3 linked regions of the Nothobranchius furzeri genome follow. The protein of the gene in region 2 interacts with the protein of the main gene of each other region in a pairwise test. Links are inferred from orthologs where the notes say so. Each region holds a gene or a part of one and is shown on either strand. Other genes may lie near its edges.

Region 1 (3,726 bases), on a different chromosome or scaffold from region 2:
ATGGTTGGTTGGTTGCTTAGTAGTTGTGGCTTTCATGGCTAGCAGGTACTCATTGGCTTACATATTTAACACAAAAAGTGAGGAATCTGCAGAGCGGCATATCCCATATTGAGACATTAAAACATTTTTAGAAAGAGAACAAACCTTTCAGCAGTCTTCTAACATTAACCACAGTTTCCAGAGTACCCAGAGCTGGAACAACACAAGATCATGTTCAGGATACTTTTGAGATCAGAGGTTTCACATTTACTTGATTCTTGGAAAATGTTTCATGTTGTCATTTCAGCTGCACTATCCCGTGTACTGGGATCTCATGGAGTTCTGTGATGGCTTTCGGAAGCTTCTGGATCACCTACAACTTGACAAGGTTACACTTTGTCTCCAGTAGCTTTAAAAATAATTTGTCTCTCTGTATGCTAGCTCTGTCATGTGTGTCTCATCAGATCCACCTGTTTGGAGCATCTCTGGGGGGATTTTTAGCTCAGAAGTTTGCAGAGTACACACACAAGTCTCCCAGAGTGCACTCTTTGGTTCTGTGTAACTCGTTCAGTGACACGTCTATCTTCAACCAAACATGGACATCAAACAGGTACTTTAATGGGTCTCTTTACAGTCTCTGAAGGTTTGTTTCATAATTCATGCAGCTTCTGTTTTCCTCCCCAGCTTCTGGCTGATGCCAGCCTTCTTACTGAAAAAGATCATTCTGGGTAACTTTTCCAAAGGACCTGTGGACTCTAAAATGGCCGACGCTATTGACTTTATGGTAGACAGGGTAAGTGGACCCCTGTGTGTTTGAATATAATTGAGGTGAAGAGGGTTTGTTAAATGTGAAGACGTTTGGACCGTCAGACCGTTTATTTCTGACGGTCCTAGCCCTAATCCTAACCACCCTAACCCATGAACCGGGACTGTACAACTTTAAGGTTTTAGAAGACCTGTTAAACAGAGCCCAAGGGTCAAAATGCACAGTGATGGTGATTTGTAGGTGGTTACTTTTAATAAATTGTCAATAGAATATAAAGGTATTCAAACAAATGTAATATTCCATAAAATTATGGATTATCAATATTATTGAGCCTTTAATATTCGATTGCTGATGAAACTAGTAGGGATGTCCCACTCCGATATTGATATCGGATATCAGCCCAAAAACACTATCGGATTATATCGGACTGCATCAAAAATCTCCGATATTAGTGGTACGTTCTGCTTTAAATTTCATTCCAGCATTTCTGTCCAGCAGTGCCCAGATCCAGCATGCAAAGCCCAAGTGTGCTAGCAAAGTAGCAAGGAACAATGTCGGCCATGTGTCCTTATTTTTCGTTGAAGTCCAAAAAAGACAGTTTGGCCCAGTGCAACACTCGTCGTGCACAAGTTTCCTGTGGTGGAACAAAACTGGGGAAGATGAATACGTCCAACCTCATCGTGCATTTGAAGCAGGATCAAAAAACATTGCAGGAGGATTTTCTCAGTGTGTGAAATAGAAACTTTAGACACCCAACATGTAGCGGTTGGTCAGCGAATAACATTGTGTTTTATTTCCTTATGTCCCTAACCTCAGCTGTTGACATTTTTGCCACCAAAGGTTAATAAAAAAATTGGTCAGTTTTGTCATGGTTTGGGGCAAGAGTCTAACCCAAGACATGCTGAATCAGTTCAGGACAACGGTTGACGGAAAAATAACAATCTTTTATTAAAGGAGAACGTTAACTAAAGGTTGGTTTATGCTTGACGCGTCCGTGAGGTCCGCATGGCTCCGCGCGGAAAAGTTGCGTCATTTTGCGTCATTTTAACAACCACGCCCCTCCACCGCGTCTCCGCACGGCCCAGAATTTCCGCAACGCGCACCTCGGAAAATTTCTAACCACGCGGACGGTCGGACGCGGAAAAACATGGCGGACCGGCAAGAACTAGTACGGCAGAGGTTCGTAAATTCAGAGATTTGTATGATTCAGCTCTCAGAGATCACCGTGATCAACATGTTGTTAATAATTCTTGGAGAGAAATAGCTCGCACTGTCGGAAAAGACGAGAACGCTGTTAAAAATGCTGAAATGCCGTTTTGTAAACAGTAATTTCTACTTCTACTATGGTGTAGTGTTGGATGTTTGCCGTAGAGCTCCATGCTGCCCCGTTCAGTTTGGGAGAATATTGGCTCACCGCAGAGACGAGCCGCACAAACCATAAACGCTGCAAATTGCGAAGCGCGTTCCAGCCGCGAGCCACGTCACCGCGTGGAAAGTGAATGCGTCAAGCATAAACCAAGCTTAAGGGCGCACTGGAAATCCAGCAGGTGAAGAAACGGGAAGGCAGCGTCTAGAGGGGAGAACAACAGAGGTGAGTCCTGGGAGATGTAGTCCAGAAGGGGAGTAATGAGTGGGGACTTACGGAGGTCGTGGAGACTAGGTGAGTAAAGCTGGGCGGACACTGTGCGACTTTTTCACTCGTAGCACTCAGCTTCAGCTCAGCTTCAGATTGCAACATCAGTGGATCAAAGACTTAATGTAGTGGCTGTCTTAATTGACTTGAGTAAGGCATTTGATACAATTGATCACACATACCTGCTCAAGAAATGTGAATACTATGGTCTTCGTGGTAAAACCAATCAATGGCTTGAAAGTTATTTAAGCAGTAGATTTCAATATGTAAATGTTAATGATATAGATTCACAGCTTGTAAGAGTAATATGTGGTGTACCGCAAGGCTCGGTGCTAGGACCGAAATTATTCAACCTATACCTGAACAACATCTTTTCTGTATCGTCTCGGTTAAAATTTATTATGTTTGCAGATGAAACTAATTTCATTTGTATGGGAAAAGATATGAGTAAATTATTACAAGAGGTTTAAAACGAATTGGGTTTAATTAAAAAATAGTTTGATTACAACAAGCTATCACTAAATGAAAATAAAACCAAATTTGTGATATTTTCAGGGAACAGGCACAATGACGGTGCTAAGCTGTATTTAAATGGAGTCCCAATTGAACAAGTACATGAAACTAAATTCCTAGGTGTGATTATTGATAGTAAACTCAGTTGGAAACCACATATTGAATATATCAAACGGCAAGTGTCTAAATCTATTGCTATACTTTATAAAACTAGTGATGTACTAAATAAAAAAGCCTTGTTTTTGATCTATTGCTCTTTAGTTATGCCTTATTTGTCTTACTGTGCAGAGGTTTGGGGAAATGCAGGTAAAACGTGTGTTGAGACTGTATTTAAATGACAAAAAAAGGCGATTAGAATAGTTAATAAATTGGGATACCTCGTACCAACTCATAATCTGTTTAGTCAAACTAAAACGCTAAAATTAGGAGATATTATTAAAGTAAAAATCTTAGAGATTCTTCATAAAGTAGTTAATAATATCCCTAATTGCATAAAAGTTTATTTCAAACCAAGAGATGATCATTATAATCTCAGAGGTGTATTTATGTTTGAATGTGTAAAAGCCAGAACTAATGTGAAATCAAGATGTGTTTCCGTTGTTGGTGTGAAATTGTGGAATGAATAAGATGATGATTTAAAGGCCCAATGTGTGATATTTCATCTTATAAGTTATCAAATTTCTTGTATCACATTCTCAAATTTGTTTTTTTTTAATGATAATTCAAACAAGCATTTATTCTAAACATTATTATTAGCTTTATATTTTAATATTTTAGACAAAAGAAGCAGACCGGTGCTCCATATGGCATGCGCCATCTTAAAATACAGTGACCT
Region 2 (4,511 bases):
CAAAGCAGAGAGAAGGATCAGATTAGAAATACAGCTTGGAAAAGAGCTTAATCCTAGTCTAGCATCTCTGAAAATTCTGTTTGTTATTTAGTCCTTAACCCCAAGGAAAATTAAGACTTTGTTCTATGACATCTGAAGATAGTTTCAGTTTTATTGGTCCTTTTGAAGCTTTATATAGAATTAGGAATCATCTCTTTGCTACCAGTTTTCTTCTCTCTGAGAAACAAGAACTTAAACAACTTTCAAGACTTTTGTTCAATAAAAATTGGGACAAGAATTAATAAACATTTAACTTTAGGCATGAACAGCACTACGAACCTCTATAATCATTATTTGTTTGCTCAACCACAGAGACACAGAAGCTCCACCAAAGGTTAGTGATTGGAGATCAGCAGAGTTCATTTATTCAGAGGTTTGTTTTGTGAAACATAAGCTAGACTGTCCTCTAGTGGCTGGCTGATGTATCTGCAGACCATTCAAATCCACTCAGGCTTAAAGTATGTGACAGAGGCATGGAGAGCAAGCGCAAAGTCTTACCAAATAATGTCAGTTTGAGTATTCTACTGCATTGGATTGCAAAGGAGAGGTCAGAGCTGTCAAAAATAGTGATGAGGTCATCATCTGACAAAGGAAAAACAAAGACCAGGTGAAATTTATATTACAATTATTTTACTCTTAAGTAATTAGAGTAGGGGAAACCCGGGCACCTGAGCTGTGTCCTGACTCACCTTCATCCTTGTATTTGATGGTGACCTCGTCGTTACTCTGCAGCTTGCCTCGGAAGACACGCTGCATCATCAGCACCAGTTCATCATATGTTATGTCTTCGTTGTGAATAGGGATGCGTCTAATGTCATCGCCCAGCTGGGCTTTGATGATCAGCTTCCCACTCAAGTCCAGCTGGCCGTTCATGTTGCCGTCTGACCTCTAAGGCTCCACCACTTGGTCCAAAAAGAGATGCAGTATTAAAAACAAGTAAGTTGCTTTTATTAAAGCTCTTTTTTTCCACTGAACATCAATAGTTCTAATTTAGCCATATACCAGAAATGGTTGGATGCTATAGGAAGTATGTTTGATTCAAATAAACTACAACTGCATTGAAAATGAGCCATTTCTGCTGTAACTCAGCCTCCTGCTGAACAAACCGACCTTAGGATCTGCATAGTCTAAGGGTCAAACACTACTCAGTGATGTGGCAAACACACTTAAGTGATTACAAACCTTCTTGTTGACTTAGATAAATCTGAACCACTTTGATAAGAGAAGCCTTTTACTGGTCTAGTACCAAAAAGTAATTTAGCACCATTATTAGAACCGTTTGAAATGTCTGCTGAAATTAAACCATTTCCAAGTTGTCAAAATTCACTATCAGCAACTGATTTCTTAGATCACGATTCTCAAACTGAGGCGTTTGTAGGACTTGTGAGCAACAGATACAGTGAGGAAATCTGACTGATTTCAAATGTGTCATTTCATATGGGTTAGAAAAAAGCTTATGGTTTGTGAAAGTATGATCAAATTAAACCTGCACACTTCAATGGGATTAAGGGTTATGTTTGCCCATTTGTGTCAAATATGAGATTGTAAACTGAACTGTGATGTAAAATGGGCAAATTACAGCTAAAACTTGCAATTACATTTTTGCAATTGTCTGTGAAAACAGGTGGTACTATGTGATATTGGCATTTTCATAAGTGGTACTCATAAAATGTTTAATAATTTAAACAGCTGGCACTTGATTATGCATTTCCATGAGAGTTGTGATTTTAGAGGTCAATTCAGCATCACCACAGCTGTGTTGAAGTCAAATTATAAAGGATTGCCTGCTGTTAATTCAAATTTGAAAACAAAACTCAATAATATAGGGAAAAAAATACTGATGGCCATTTTTATGAATGTGGAAGTTATGACACCTAACTTTGCGGTGATTCCAAAAATTTGCTAATATATAAATAAAATGTTACATTAAACAAAACTTCACTGTTCGTGATTGATTAATCTGTCACTTATTGCTAATGTGTGGTCGCCAGCTGATACAGTGGGCTGAACAAAATCCCATTGTGAATTGAATTCCAGAAATGTTGCGGCTTTAGCAGTCATGGCCAGATGGGTAATTAGCTAGATGCTAGGGATTGTGTTGTAGCTAACGTTTAGTACACAGCAGCATAAACTGGTAAACAAAAAAAAAAAAGCTGGTTTCTACCGGGAGAGGGGTACTAGATGAGAATCAAATGACAAATGTAAGAGGGCTGTAATTGGGGTGGTGCTGGCTGAGTGCTAGACACAGAATTCACGGACAGCTGAAGTTTTGACGGGCCACTTACAGACTGACATGTCAACAATCACAATATAAATCACACAAGCAAAGTAAAAAAAAAAAAACAGCAACACTATACTTTTATGTCACATCATTTGAATATTACACTAAAACAGACAATTTTTACTTGATTTTAAATCACCGAATCCGTAAACAGTGATTTCCTGACAAGCTACATTTGGAAAAAAACAAAGCTAAAGAAAGACCGTATATGCCACTTGTACAAGTGTGCCAGCCTCACCCTGCTAAGAACGTCTCACTCTTTTACAATATAACTTTCTACGAAACAGTCTTAAAAAGCTGCTTGGAAAAAAGTTAAGTGGCGTTAAAGTGACGTTAGCTCAGAGCTAGCACTAGCCAGTTAGCGCTAACCACATAGCTTCACAGCGAACATGCAATCATGACACACACATTCCCGTGTGCTTAGGTCTCAATTATATTACAGCGAAACTCTGAATCAAATAGCGGATTTTACCTGAATCAGACGACTTAACCACGCAGTACCTAACAAGCCTCACCAAAGCGTGAAAATTACTTGATATATTTAGCCAGCCTAGCTAGACCCAGGAAGTGTTCTCCGGATAGTCAACGTCAACAGTACGTGGCACTCTTTACGCGCAGGCGCAGACGGCAGCAAAGTGTGCCACCCTAAAATTGGAACATTACAAAGCATGAAGTCATTATTTATGTTCACAGGCATGGATGTTAACGTAAACGTATTTTTTCCACATAGAATACTATCTGTTTATTAGGCAATTTCATAATAAAAGAAGTCATTTCTCAATATTGTAAAATTATAGACAAAGAAAATCAAAACACTGCCTAAAGTAACCCATTTTTTATTACTACTAAGCATATTTTATATTTATAGTTAATGAAATCATGTTACCAATGCAAAACATTCTGGTATATACACATCTACGTTTACAAAGTTGTATTACTTCACTGTTATTTGACAAAGCTGTAAACAAAATATAATCAAGTGATGCTAAACATATAATTATTGAACAGTGCTGTTTTATTATGTTTCATAATTAAAATTAGTCAAACATCAAGGTTCCTGCACATGCAAAAATAAATAAATAAATAAAATGAAATAAAAACATTGGAATTTATTTTTGGTTTCCCACATTTGCTTTTTTACTCCTTACCACAGTGAACTAGTTGTATTGTGCTAGGTGAGAACTTATAATAACGATAATCTTCATAAAAAATAAAACATAACCCAAACCATTTTAATGCCTTATATTTAGTATCAGGAAATAATAAGAGTTGAACAGAGAATACAATTTTTCAAATTGAATTATACTTCATTAAAAACTTGGTGTTGGAAAACAATAAAACCAAAAGACTTATGTTATGTCATAAAAATAAAACAGACCTCAAAATAACACAGCTAAAATATACCAGATATTTTTGCCTAATCACAAATATTTTAATTTAATTATTTCTTCTTTTTTTCTTGCGTGGTGTTGAACCATGAGTCTAGCAGACTCTTCATGTAATATAGCTGCCATGCATGCACTTGAATAGCCACCACCATGATGAGGTACATAATGGTGACTGCTGAGAAGCCAAAAATGAAGCGGTAGGCTTTTCCGTGGCGGTAGAGCTGCTGTGCTACGGGAAACATCTCCATTCCTCCATAAATAAGAGGTGCAATAGAGAACAGCCCAGCACTTATCATGGATAAAACCAGGTAGCTGATGTTGTTTTTTGGTAGTGATAGGCTGCTGCAGAGCAGTGGGAGGAGGCTGAGCAGGTAGGGGTACTCCCATTGGTATGGTACAGACACTGTGTCATGTGACACCAGGTTGAAGTGGCTCACAATCACTTGGGACGCCACCAGCAGCCAGATCAGAAGGTGGACCAAGTTCAGCTTCCGCACCTCAGACTTCAGAGAAGCACTGAAAAGAAGACAAAAGACCCTCAGACTGTTAGAGACACATATTACATTTATTAATCAATAACAGATATGGAGAAGAGCACTAGCCTCATCTGGTAATGTGGGACAACCCTCTCTCTAGGTTTAAAGTCACTTCCATTAGTACCGGTACTTCTGAGGCCAGCGCGAGAGGTCATGTTGAGAAAATTCTGCAAAAAAAAAAAAAAAAAAAAAAAAAAGGACTTGACACAACAGGTTCATCTCAATTCATCTTCAAAATTTCAATTTTATAAAAATACGTGGATTTGA
Region 3 (3,927 bases), on a different chromosome or scaffold from region 2:
GAGCAGCTGTCTTGGCAAGTTCTCGTTATGATGGACGGGTACCGAAACGAGGCACCGTTTGAAATGACGTGAATCGGTGCTCGGTCGGTACTATGGAATTTGTTCGGTACCTTAAAAAGTACCGAATTCGGTACCCATCCCTATCTGCCTGTATCTGTTTTGTCTACATGTGTGTGTAACCTTGGTCAGGCTGTGCTGCAGAGTCAGATTCCTATGCTTCGGGATGCCGGAGCACTGGCAGTAATACTTTTCTGATTCTGATGGGGTCAATAGGTCACATGTATACTTTGGGACCTGACCTCACAGAGCTCTGCAAGTCAGAAATAAAGTGTCTAAATCAATTCTGTATTTTATGGAAACAGTTCAAATCCAGATGTGAGCAGTGTCATTACCTCACTTCTCCTCATCCATCTGGGTTTAGCAACAGAACCGGTTTGGATTAAGAATCAGAAACCTAGGTATACCTTGGTGCAGCTCGGTGCCACTGATGCATCCAGATCGGTCTCGGTCGCAGTTCTGGAACATGGCTCTCCACTGCTGCAAGAAGTTCCACAGAGCCGAGAATCCAAACAGATCTATCCGACCCGACCGCGTCTGATCAAACATGTCTGACGGTGGAAACATAAAAACAAGCTTTGTTTCTAAACTTGAGTAGAAACATTTCATCGTGTCCAGGTTTATTTGAGAAGAGCACGTCCTTGTCCCCAGAGGTGACTCGTTCTCCCGTCTCCAGAACGAGTCAGCTCCTGGCACCAGGAATGTAACAGAACCACTGTTGGACTGGAAACAAACACGTCTGAACTCCTCCCAGAACCATCAACTGTTTTTACTTTAAAGTCTGGAATATCGGAGCTAAACAGAGTAGGAGTTCACATTTACATTGGACCTGTTTAGAAGACCCTCCAAAGGTTAGAAAAGTCACACAGCAGTCCCCGCCGGTTTTGCCCCAACCTGCAGCAGCTGAGTAACTCACTGATCATCATGAGGCAAGTTTCATCGTTAAAGCTGGACCAGTTGGAGTTGACAAGAGCCTGTTTCAGCTCCTTCAGGTTGATGAATCCGCTCTGATCTGTGTCGACGGTCTGGAACCACTGATACGCCTCTGGGTTAACACCAGGGGGGACATTACCTAGATGGAGGACAAACGTGGAGACATTAAATGATGATTAGATCAGCTAAATCTCTATTTGAGGCAAGAAAACTATAAATTGTTTTTCCATTAAACCTAAATCATCCCTGGGAGGATGACCAAGTAAACTTTTACTACACAGCTTTACCCTAGAGGTCGACCTCCAAGAGAGTCGGATAGTCAGAGAGACAGGTGATTCTTTAACATGCAAACATGATGGGGTGGAGAAACGTGACTTTACCCCATCCAGTCAGGAAACGCAGGGTAACCCAAATGTAGAAGCAGTGGCCAAGTATTTTGTGGGAACCACAAACGAATCCACCACCATCCCCTCTCCCGCTAACTGGCACCGTACGGGCAGTGACTGTCTTCTGGTCGTTCTGGAGCTGAACTGCTCCATATATTGTTATATTGATTTGAGGCTTTACTGCCCAGCCGTGACAGAGCATATAAAAACCAAAATCACGATAAATATGGAGACAGGCTGTTGCTAGATAGTTGGTGTGACAGGTAGTCAACTTGAGTGGAAAGCCTTAGCAGCAGACCTATTTACTGTCTAAGGCAGTGATGATATCAACTTTCACCATATCAGGTCTGAAAGAATGAGGTTGGAGATGAGGTGCTTCACTGTTTGAGTACCAACTTCTCAAGGACTAGATAAGGTAACATGGAGATGGGTCCATAGCAAATAGGGTCAGACTCAGAGCCACCTTTGTAGAGGGAAAAGATCATGGCTGATTTACAATCTGGAGGAAGGATAGAGAGCCGTCAGGACAAGTTAAACATTATTGCGATGGGAGCAGCAATAACGAGGCCAGGTGCTTTTAACAACATGGGGTCTATGTTGTCATAACCAACTGTTTTATTTGGGTTCAGCGTGGTGAGTTCATCCTGCCCCTCTGGGACAGAGAGAGATTTAAAGGTTATAACGGTTTGGATCGGTGAAAGCTCTGGTTGAGTTAAACCCACCCCTGTCTCTACATGTCCTTCCTCTCCGTCATCCCCGCTGGAACACGACAGGAAGACAGAGAACAGCAGCAAAGAAAGGAAACCAGACAGATGTTATACAGATGTTTAGAGCACTGGTCCATCACAGAGCTCACTACCTGCAGGTGCTTGAGGTCTGTAAGGCTGTCCCCCGTAACCACCAGGACCATACTGTCCACCATGGGCTGGAGCTCCATTACCCCCATATGGACTTCCTGCAGCACCACCCCCATAAGGACCTCTGGGTCCGCTGTAAGGAGAACCTGGTGATGGGTTGCCCCCACCTGGATAACCCTACAAGAGGACTACAGTTTGATTAGACAGAACTTTTCACAAATGAAAACATTACATCGGTCTTGACTCTTGATTCTGCCTTTTGAACTAATATTATTTCCTGTCTATTTTCTAATAGATAAGGACACGAAGACACATGTAGAAATCTGCATTTCTTGACGTTTCACAAATCAGATAAAAGTATCACAAATCACTAACTACATTTTAAGTAAACTGCTATCAGTCTAGAACAATCTTCAGCTCTGTAAGCCAAGCAGACATTTATTCCTTACCAGCTTTATTTAAAAGCATATAAAACCCAGATATATAATCCACAGCATTGGCTGCTCCGTAGGTATGAATAGTAGACATCCCATTGGGTGCTGAAGAGTGGAACGCCGTTGGCGCCATATTGGATGGGTCACTCACTCTCCAAACCCAACTGGAGTCAACACGGAATGAACAACTATGCTCGTGTTTTTGTGCAGCCTACGGTTGCAACAACCGGCGCATCAAAAACAGATCACGTGGGACTTTTATAGCCTACCTCTTGGGATTTTATATATTATTTCTTTAGTTTGATTTTGTTTTATATGTTTTTATTTTAACTATCATGCTTTATAGCAATAAAGCAATACATTCAAAATTTCAGCTTGCATAATTTCAGTCTATACAAAATTTGCTGATTTCAGAAGAATACATCAGTATCGGTAAATATCAGTTATCCACCATAACAGTGATATTAGTATCGGTATGAACACACGAGTGAACACATCACTCCTGTATTATCTTCACTGCACTGGCTGCCTGTCCATTTTAGGGTTCATTTTAAACTTATTTAGTTTGTTTTTAAGTCTTTAAACGGTCTTGCCCCGCGCTACCTCTCTGCGCTACTGCACCTTCACTCCTCCTTTCAGTCGCTCGATCAGGTCATCTGACCAGTTGCTCCAGGACGTTCCAAGGACACAGCGTAAGCTCAGAGGGGATAGGGCCTTCGCTGTTGCTGCTCCCAGAACTCTTTGCCGGCACATCTTAGAAAGGCCTCCACACTGGAAACTTTTAAATCATCTTTAATGACCCACCTTTTTAGCTTTGCTTTCGACACTGTATGAAGTTTTGGATTTCTGTTTTATTTTAGTGTGCTTTTAACTTCTATACTGTATTCTATTTTATGCTTTTATGTTTTTATATTCAGCATTTTGGTCCGTGACGGCTGTTTTAAAGTGCTTTATAAATAAAGTTGGCTTGGCTTGGTATCGGCCAAAAAGATTCATATTGGTGCATCCCTAATTAAAGGTTCACGTTTTAGTTTTTTTTAATAACATCATAGCGCTAAGCTCACGTTTTCTTTAAAAAAAAAACCTGCCCAAAACAGCTGTTCTGCTGGTGGCACGAGGCCAGTCTGCAAAGGAAGACGGTTTGCTGCTAAATGAAATAGCCTATGTAGTAGTAGAGCCCTTCTAGCCAATCAGAGGCGAGAAAGGCAGGATCTTCCTTGGCCATCCTACAATTCTAAATCACGTCCGCAGGGCGTCTAC

What was found.
Region 1: the proteins of tfg (region 2) and spg21 interact in binary tests that used the Homo sapiens proteins (3 or more experiments, as listed by UniProt). The two-hybrid records come from large-scale screens. The link is inferred for Nothobranchius furzeri from reciprocal best matches to the Homo sapiens genes TFG and SPG21.
Region 3: the proteins of tfg (region 2) and pef1 interact in binary tests that used the Homo sapiens proteins (3 or more experiments, as listed by UniProt). The two-hybrid records come from large-scale screens. The link is inferred for Nothobranchius furzeri from reciprocal best matches to the Homo sapiens genes TFG and PEF1.

What each region holds. Positions count from the first base shown.
Region 1 is NC_091749.1:20,282,479-20,286,204, forward strand, and holds part of spg21 (maspardin), read left to right. Parts: intron 1-286; coding exon 287-367; intron 368-443; coding exon 444-589; intron 590-663; coding exon 664-772; intron 773-3,726. UniProt on the Homo sapiens protein: May play a role as a negative regulatory factor in CD4-dependent T-cell activation.
Region 2 is NC_091754.1:27,494,947-27,499,457, reverse strand, and holds the start of tfg (protein TFG), read right to left. Parts: upstream 2,935-4,511; 5' UTR 2,793-2,934; intron 942-2,792; 5' UTR 913-941; coding exon 729-912; intron 622-728; coding exon 538-621; intron 1-537. Other genes in the region: jagn1a (protein jagunal homolog 1-A), read right to left, coding at 3,762-4,224, 4,311-4,399. UniProt on the Homo sapiens protein: Plays a role in the normal dynamic function of the endoplasmic reticulum (ER) and its associated microtubules. Required for secretory cargo traffic from the endoplasmic reticulum to the Golgi apparatus.
Region 3 is NC_091751.1:28,764,742-28,768,668, forward strand, and holds the start of pef1 (peflin), read right to left. Parts: upstream 2,801-3,927; coding exon 2,726-2,800; intron 2,411-2,725; coding exon 2,236-2,410; intron 1,130-2,235; coding exon 974-1,129; intron 609-973; coding exon 465-608; intron 1-464. UniProt on the Homo sapiens protein: Calcium-binding protein that acts as an adapter that bridges unrelated proteins or stabilizes weak protein-protein complexes in response to calcium.